2 linked regions of the Nothobranchius furzeri genome follow. The protein of the gene in region 2 purifies or fractionates together with the protein of the main gene of each other region. This does not show direct contact. Links are inferred from orthologs where the notes say so. Each region holds a gene or a part of one and is shown on either strand. Other genes may lie near its edges.

Region 1 (4,262 bases), on a different chromosome or scaffold from region 2:
TCCAGCAGGATAATGCACCATGTCATAAAGCTCCAATCATCTCAGACTGATTGTTTGAACATGACAATGATTTCACTGTACTTAAATGGCCTCCAGTCACCAATCTTAATCCAATAGAGCACCTTTGGGATGTGGAACAGGAGATTCGCATCATGGATGTGCAGCCGACAAATCTGCAGCAACTGTGTGATGCTGTCAGGTCAATATGGACCAAAACCTCTGAGGAATGTTTCCAGTACCTTGTTGAATCTATACCACGAAGGATTAAGGCAGTTCTGAAGGCAAAAGGGACCTGGTACTAGCAAGGTGTACACAATAAAGTGGCCAGTGAGTGTAGTTTACCAGACGTTTTATAAAAGGCCAAATGTACCTTGTTGCTTGGTTCCAGCTTCAGAGCCTTCCGTAAAGTTTGAATGGCTTCTGTGTATTCAGCCTGCAGAGCCAGAACCTAAAGCAGAAACACACAGCAGGCAACAGGTTAGAGGAGTCTGAGAAACACAACATGAAAGAATCAGAGCAAAGAGCACCTTGCCCATTCGAAAAAGTGCTTTAATATTCTCTGGTTGATGTTCAAGTGCTGAAACACAAGACTTCAGTGCTGCGTCATAGTGGTCCAGCTTCAGCTGAGAAGCAGCCATGTTGTTTAGACACTTTACTTTGACATCCAACAGCTCGTTCTCCTCCTCGGGGCTGATGTCAACTGCTCAAGGAAACATGATAAACAGTTAAGAGTCCTTATGTATCAAAATAAGAAAAATCAACTGTTAGTATCTTGTTAATATCTTTTCTTTTAGAAGGAAATATAAAGCTTTGCCTGACTCCTGCACATGCTTCTTACCTTTGGAACAAGAATCAGTAATCTGCAGGGCAACGCCATATGAGTTGACTGCAAAAGCATAATCCCCACGTTGGTAGTGAACATTCCCCCTCTCCCTCTTCTGAACAGCCAGGGCTATTTTCTCCGAGGGAGGAAGCAGCTCCAAGTCAGGTGCATCTGTAGCCTCCAACAGCTCCACCTCTAAGGAAAGCTCAGCATTTGGCGGAATGTCAGGATCAAGACTAGGAAGTGAAGGACGCAGGAGACAGAGTCAGGGACACCAGCCGTAGGAGACAGTTCACAGATATTACTGTCATGTTTCCTTCTTTTTCAGCAACCAAATGCAGGCACATTTACTGAGCACAGTGTTAGGAGGAGACACACTGGTAAATATAGCTTTAAAGGCATAGCTTCAGAGCAAATATGAACCGATATTGTTATTATCCACAGGCTTGATCTTCCTCACCACACCATTGTTTTAAGTGTTGGCTTAATAAAACTTCTAATCTTTGAAGAAACCACAAACATCCCAGACTCATTAAGCATTAATTCAACAATCAGCTGTCGGGGACAACTGTGAGCATCTCTCTCCTGCAATGTCCAATTCTTTAATATTTCCTCAAAACATCTCTGGTTTGAAAACTGTGACGTGAAAGTCATGTCTACATTTTGAACTAATAACACTAGATATAATGGCCCTAACGTGGCAGACTGTTCAGGAGCATTTCAAAATGTTTCCTACCTTCCTCGGACACCGTATGCGTATTTTGCATCTGTCTGGATGAGTGCTTTCTCTCCAATTTCCATAAGCTGCACTGTCAGATCCAGTGCCTAAATAGATTAAAGTGTTTTTTGCTTTAATGACTTACATGCAAATTTAACACACACACACACACATATATATATATATATATATATATATATATATATATATATATATATATATATATATATATTATTAAAAACCTATTCAACCAATCATCTGAGTTTTTCTTTTTCTTTACCTGGATGACATCACCATCTCCCAGAGTGAAAGCGAGATCACATAGCTCCTGTGCAAGTGTACCATCCATCAAGTGTGTTTTAAGATGGATCTTTACGACCTGTCCTTTGTGAGGCCGACTGTCACGTCCCTTCCCTGCTTCAAGGACCTTTTTCTTCAGCTGGTCGTTACCTAACAGCAGATAGATCTGTTTATAAAATTGGTTACATATAACGGAACCATTAAATGTTCATAACTATACAGTAATGGAATTCTAGCTTCTGCTGTGAATGCCACTAAATATTTGGAAAACATACAAACAACATACAAATGCAAACTATTAGCATGTTGTCTGTAAGAATGTGTCTGGTTTTGTCACATTTCCCTCATACCTAAAACATCTAGCCATTCATCAATGTTGCCAGAAGGTTCTGGATCTTCAACCCTTTTCTTTTCTGCATCTTCTGTTTTTTTACTGTTTCCACCCCCGGCATCTTCCAGAGGAGGAAGGTCGTCATAAATGTCTTCATCACACAACACCTCAAAGTCCTCCCCGCTGTCCAGCAACGAGGTTTGTCCATGCTTCTTAGCAGCAGGAGGTCCAGCTGAAGACTCCATTCTCAAACGTGTTCAGTCCTCAGCACATCACCTGATTAAGGAAAACAGAAAACAGCTTGAAGTGATTCACTTTCTGTGAAAAGTAAAACTGTGTATGTGCTGAATCCTAGTGAGGAAAAAAAGCCTTCAACTATGTGCAAGTCGACGTTAAACACTGTGATAGGTCACATGATGATAGCTACACAACTGTTTACCCAACACCTCCTTTAACGTCTATTTATTATTTTTAATTTTAGCAAACAATGTGGCAACATTTCGCAAATTTAATTATTACGCTACCTGTTAACTGTTGTGCCCTGACAAATCTAGCAAGAAGTTTTAACAAGTTTTCCTCCAGCTAAATGCCCAAGCGGCTAGCATGCTACTGCTAATGCAAGTAGCATTAGCCGGTTAAGCAATACAGGTACTAAACGATAATAACGAGTTTTTACTCTATTATACGATAAACCATTGGGTTTATCACGTCAATGCAGTGAGAGTGGGTCAAAGTGTATATGCGTTAATCGAAATAAAGTACAACAAACCTCCAAGTGGGCTTGTTTCGGTCCTGAGCTGTCCCTTCGTTAAACTCAAAGTGAAGTCAGTTCAACGTTGTACTGATGTGTCGGTAGTGAACGAACTGGCTCTAAGAGCCGGCTCTTTGAAGTGAACGACGGGAGCCGGCTCGTCATTGGGAGCCGTCCCCTCCCCTTTTGCTTTGGTGAACGCCACAGGCAATTGGTCAACATGTGTAACTGCGTGTCCAGACTGTCCACACACAGAGCAGTAGGGGCGGGGAAGAGGGAGGATCAGACTCAGACACACAGCAGAGCACATGCGGGTGGAGGGAGACGAGAGGGAATGAGGAGGAGGAAAAAGGCGAGAGAGAGAGAGAGAGAGAGAGAGAGAGAGAGAGAGAGAGAGAGAGAGAGAGAGAGAGAGAGAGAGAGAGAGAGAGAGAGAGAGAGAGAGAGAGAGAGAGAGTGCGGCAAAGACGGTGAGAAAATGAGCGCCAGCAGTCAGAAAGTGGAGATTTCTTAAAGTGTTCAGTTATTAAATCCATTCAAATGATAAATAGTTTATATATTGCAATTTTTTACATTAGTAAATCATGTTACATATATTTTAGCATTTTTTTTGGTTATAAATATACTCTACGCAACAGAAAATGTGAGGAGCCACTTGGGAGCCGAAAGAGCCGGCTCTTTTTGGTGAGCTGAGCCAAAAAGACCGGCTCTCTAAAAAGAGCCGGAATTCCCATCACGTCGTTGTGAGGCGGAGGACCCAAAAAATAAAAAAAAAGTACGCGTGTTGATATGTTCAGCAGCAAGCGAACTTCAGCCCTGTGCTTCCTGTTAACCTTGAGCTCCCCCTTGGTGCAAGTTAATATTTTACCTCACTAACATGGAAACGACAGCAGTTTGGAGTTTCTAGTAATTTTCCTTAATTAAAAAGGTAAAAGTAGATAATAATAATAATAATAATAATAATAATAATAATAATAATAATAATAATAATAATAATAATAATAATAATAATAATTAGAAGAAGAAGAAAAAGAAGAAGAAGAATAGATGACTGAATTTTTGTTATTTGTAAAGGGACATTGCATACTAATGAACATTTACATATTTCATGTAGGTAAATATGCATTATTTTAGCCCGGGTTAATTTCCAGCAGTAAATGTTAAATAAATGTAACATTATTTTGTCCAATTTGATTATGTTAATAAAATATTCTCAAAGCATATGGACACGTTTTTAATCATGCTCTGCAACATGAAATTTCAAAACCCGCGTCAACGCCAAAATCCCAATTGCCTTTCTCTATAGTTGAAAACATTTGACAGCGTGAACTGAATCTTT
Region 2 (4,457 bases):
TGCTTACCTGGTGGCCACCTGGTGGCTGTAAAGCCTCTCGCCTTGATCGCTGAACAGCCTGGCGAGACCGAAATCGGCGATCTTTAGGTGACCCGAGGAGCTGATGAGCAGGTTAGCTGGCTTCAGGTCCTACACACACACACACACACACACACACACACACACACACACACACACACACACCAGAACCAGAATCACAAACCCTTATGGGCCGTGGACTGTGTGTGTGTGTGTGTGTGTGTGTGTGTGTGTGTGTGTGTGTGTGTGTGTGTGTGTGTGTGTGTGTGTGTGTGTGTGTGTGTGTGCGTGTGTGTGAGCAGTGCACTCACCCGGTGCATGATGTTATTGCGATGCAGGAAGGCCACGCCCTTTAGCAGCATCATCATGTACCCCTTGACCTGTGCCGGGGTCAGAGGTCGCTGGTGGTTCCTGATGACCTCAGAGAGGTCCGACAGCATGAAGTCAAAGACCAGAACAAAGCCCGTCCCGTGGGGAAAGACGTCCTTCAGCTTCACAACCTGGAAGAGTTCAGGACAACGTTCCCAAAAGGAAGATTGAATCATTCCCAACAAAACATCTGCAGGTTTTTTTTATCAAAGCAGCTGAAGCTGAGCACCGAGGGTCCACCAGGTGTGGTGCTGTAATGGAACCAGATTTCTGCTCAGACTTAAAACCAACAGCAGATCTGGGCAACCAGGCACTTACCAGCCCCCCAGATCTCTGTGATGCTCCTCCTCGTCTCCTCAGAAGGAGGAATAGAGAACGTAAAATCATGGAAATCTGTTAATTTGGCAAATAGCTTTGTGAGGAATGGCCTGCAGATCAGGTGGATTCAGGACTGTGGTTCTGACACCATCACGAACACCAGTTTGTGGCATTTCAGTAGCATCAGGTCTGACACCTCGCTGTCCTCTGAACTGGGCAGAAGCAGCTGGAGGGACACTCACATACTGGTTGTCCTCAATCTCCTGCAGGGCCTTGATCTCCCTCAGAGCCTGGTTCGGGATGCCGTCTTCCAGCCTCCTCAGAGCCACTTTCTTCAGAGCCACCGTCTCTCCTGTCTGAGAGAAAAGGCACAAGACGAACATTCTGAGGAGGAACTGCTCTGCACCTGGAACCAGACCCAGAGGCTGGATCTTTTGCTATCGGTACCTCAATGTGTTTGGCCTTGAACACAATGCCGTGAGCTCCTTCTCCGATCCGACCCTGGATGCTGTACTGCTCCATGTCTGGGACAAGAACCTGATCCGGTCTGCTGATTTCTGCAGGAAGACCAATTTTTCATCTGATTCCACATTAAAACTTCAAGCTGTAACATTAAACTAAATAAGATATAGGTGACCTCTTTTTGAGAAAGAAAACACCTCCCAGAGCTTCTTTTACCTCCTCCAGCTGACCGACAGGAGCCAGAATTCAGACCGGAAACAAAGCTCCGTGTACAAAAGACGCCGTTTACGATTTTGCGCGTTTCAGTTCAATAAAACACCAACGTTTCTGAAATATTACGGAACGATAACTGAAATAAAGGTCGTAAGTTTTATTCGGGTTCTGAGATTATACATAAATCAGCTCGATTTCAATTGGATCCGAATTTTACAGAGGATGCTAACTCGTGTTGCCATGGTAACGTCACCACTAAGCTAAGTTAGCTCCTATGGCTTAATGAAACCGTCGAAATAATTTCAATTCGAGCAGAAATGTTTCCTGATAGTCGTTCAAGCCTGAAAGCGCGGCGAGGAGATCCGGTTTTCGGGCCTGAAACGTTTGAAAACGTTTTGTTTCAGACAAGAGCTGCGTTAGCTACGGTCACGTGACAACGGAAGTCACGACACAGATCCAAATCAGCTAGAAAAGACTCACATGTCAGTCAGAAGTGAAAATTAAATAAATAAATTATATATATATATATATATATATATATATAAATATATATGTATGGGGTTATGACATGAATGTGTATATAGGTTTTATGGGTTTTACAAATGTGTAATTTGGATGTGTTTTTAGAATTTAGAGATTTTAGTGCCGGCTGCTTCACAATGCTGTCTCGAATTGCCCCTCGGGGACTAATAAAGTTGTCTTGAGTCTTGATATATATATATATATATATATATATATATATATATATATATATATATAATCAGTCTGGAGCGTCTTCGTCTAATGCATCTATCTGTTTTATGTCTACATGCTTTATTTTGAAAATTTGGGGGCACTCAATGATTTAGTTCCGGTGTAAAGAATTATTTACATGCTAGCTTGGCATGCTAGCTGTGCTAACGGCACGTTTTTGTGTCCGAAACGGTTAATTTACATTGAGCAGAAATTCATCTGAACTGAATTAATCCGCATGAAGTTATTATTGTTGTTATTAATCTGAAAAGCTGCATGGAGGAACCTGTCGCTGAAAACGTGGACCGGAAGGTTCTGCAGTACGAAACGTTCATCAACGAGGTTCTGAAGAGAGATTTACGGTACGATTTAACTCGTATAGTTGATTTAGTTTCTCAGCTCTGCTCCTCTGTTTGGTTTTGAATTCTGAGTAGTTTCACAGATCCTGGTTTAGTTAGGGCAGGGTTGGTAGCTCTAGCTTGAAGCAGGTAAATAAAAGTTGGTGCTGGGTTCTGATGAATCTAAGCAGTTTCCGGTTAAGTTTTGATGCGATGTTTATGTCTCTACAGACACGATCATTATAGTACAGGTTAAGTTCTTTAAACGTAAATCATAAAGTTGTATTAAACACATTTGTGACAATCACTATGACCAGTGACTGGTACCTGGTTACCATGGCAGCCCCCCAGAGGGCGGGGTCTATCCGGCTAGAGAAGTTGACGCTTCATCTGAGCGACCAGAACAAAAGTCAAACTGCGGTGGTGAGTCCACAGAGTCGGATGATGTTCTGGTCTGTGGAATCAGAACCAACCAAAAAGATCCAGTGAAGGAGAACCAGAGAGTGGGTCCTGGAGAACCACGGATCCCTGGTGTGGTTCTTATCCAATAGAACAGTCAGAAAATGATTGCAAACTCATTTCAAATACTCTATTTTGACACCTCACACACACACACACACACACACACACACACACACACTGATGAAGGTGTTCTGTTTGACAGGAAGGTGTTGGAGCAGAGAGACCAGGTTTATGAGAAGATCTCCCAGTACCTGCAGCTGAAGAACACGATCCAGAGTCTGCAGGTAGTGTGTGTGTGTGTGTGTGTGTGTGTGTGTGCGTGCGTGCGTGTGTGTGTGTGTGTGTATGTGTGTGTGTGTGTGTGAGAGAGAGAGAGAGAGAGAGATTTTAAGGAGGGAGGCATCACTCTGGGAGGATCATAGGGCCTCCTCTAGGATTTTTTTCAGTTGTTTGAAATATTTTCAGCTAACATCCGCCATGTTTTAATCTCTGGAAACCTTTTAACTGCTGATGAAAATCCAGCGGAGCTGTGTGTTCTGGATCAGGAGTTCTGTTCAGGCCCGATCCAACAACAGACCAGTAACCTGAGCTCTTTAGGCCTCGTGCTGTCAATCAGAAACGCCTGTTTGTTTGTGATAGAATTTTGTGTGTGTGTATATATTTATATATGTTTATATCATGATGATGACGTTGCGGTTATGTCACTCCGTGTTCTTGCAGGAGGCGGAGTCCCAGCAGCTGAAGACAGACGTCGATCTGGGCTGCAGCTTCTATGTTCAGGCTCAAGTGTGAGTGTCTGTCTCTCTAGAGTGTCCAGCTCCTCCCTCCACAGACATTTAACCTCTTTTAGATGTTTGGTTCTGGTTCTGAGCAGTTTGGTTGTGTTTGGTCCCGGTTCTGACCCGTTGTTCCCCTCCTTTGGACAGAGACGACTCGTCCAGGATCTTCGTGGCGGTCGGTTTCGGGTTCTTCGTGGAAATGACCCACGATGAAGCTCTGCAGTTCATCACCAAGAAGACGAGTCAGCTGACAGTGTGAGCTCTGTGTTGCCGTGACAACACAAACTTTTTGTCACACGTCTCATTTTTGTCGAGCTGAGATCTAGTTCTAAATAAAGTTGAGGGAGTTTGAACGAGTGCTGTGTTAGCTCAATGTTCGGAACCAAAGATGCTAACCATGCTAACGCTTGTTTTGCAGCTTCACAGAGCAACTCACTAAAGACGCCGCCAAAATAAAAGCCAACATCCGCATGGTCCTTGAGGTCAGTTATTATGTCTATGATCTGAAGCTCTTTAATATTTGATTTGAGTTTTTCTGCTGAGTGTTTGATCTTCTATAAGTCAAAGCGAGTCAGAGACTCGGTAAGATCTGAAGTAGAGCCGGTCCGGTAGCGTCGAGGTGAGTTGGTGCTGATGGAGAGGGACGTTCTCCTCTAAAATCAGATGTGTTCATCGTGGAACCACGGAGAACCCTGATCCTCCAGATGAGGTGTCTGATTGGCTGCTATCTTCTTCCTCTGCCTTCAGGGTTTGCGGGAGCTGCAGG

The links.
Region 1: the proteins of cdk20 (region 2) and fkbp8 purify together in Homo sapiens (affinity purification with mass spectrometry; 5 studies listed by BioGRID and IntAct, with this or other methods). This does not show direct contact. The link is inferred for Nothobranchius furzeri from reciprocal best matches to the Homo sapiens genes CDK20 and FKBP8.

What each region holds. Positions count from the first base shown.
Region 1 is NC_091748.1:52,427,028-52,431,289, forward strand, and holds the start of fkbp8 (peptidyl-prolyl cis-trans isomerase FKBP8), read right to left. Parts: upstream 3,074-4,262; 5' UTR 2,942-3,073; intron 2,449-2,941; 5' UTR 2,418-2,448; coding exon 2,192-2,417; intron 1,992-2,191; coding exon 1,822-1,991; intron 1,649-1,821; coding exon 1,560-1,648; intron 1,060-1,559; coding exon 839-1,059; intron 701-838; coding exon 528-700; intron 449-527; coding exon 371-448; intron 1-370. UniProt on the Homo sapiens protein: Constitutively inactive PPiase, which becomes active when bound to calmodulin and calcium. Seems to act as a chaperone for BCL2, targets it to the mitochondria and modulates its phosphorylation state.
Region 2 is NC_091755.1:47,133,921-47,138,377, forward strand, and holds the start of cdk20 (cyclin-dependent kinase 20), read right to left. Parts: upstream 2,801-4,457; 5' UTR 2,778-2,800; intron 2,475-2,777; coding exon of another isoform or gene 2,389-2,474; exon of another isoform or gene 2,211-2,388; intron 1,849-2,210; exon of another isoform or gene 1,343-1,848; intron 1,263-1,342; 5' UTR 1,228-1,262; coding exon 1,153-1,227; intron 1,062-1,152; coding exon 948-1,061; intron 519-947; coding exon 330-518; intron 130-329; coding exon 8-129; intron 1-7. Other genes in the region: protein UXT, read left to right, coding at 2,389-2,474, 3,115-3,196, 3,633-3,700, 3,839-3,946, 4,110-4,173, 4,439-4,457. UniProt on the Homo sapiens protein: Required for high-level Shh responses in the developing neural tube.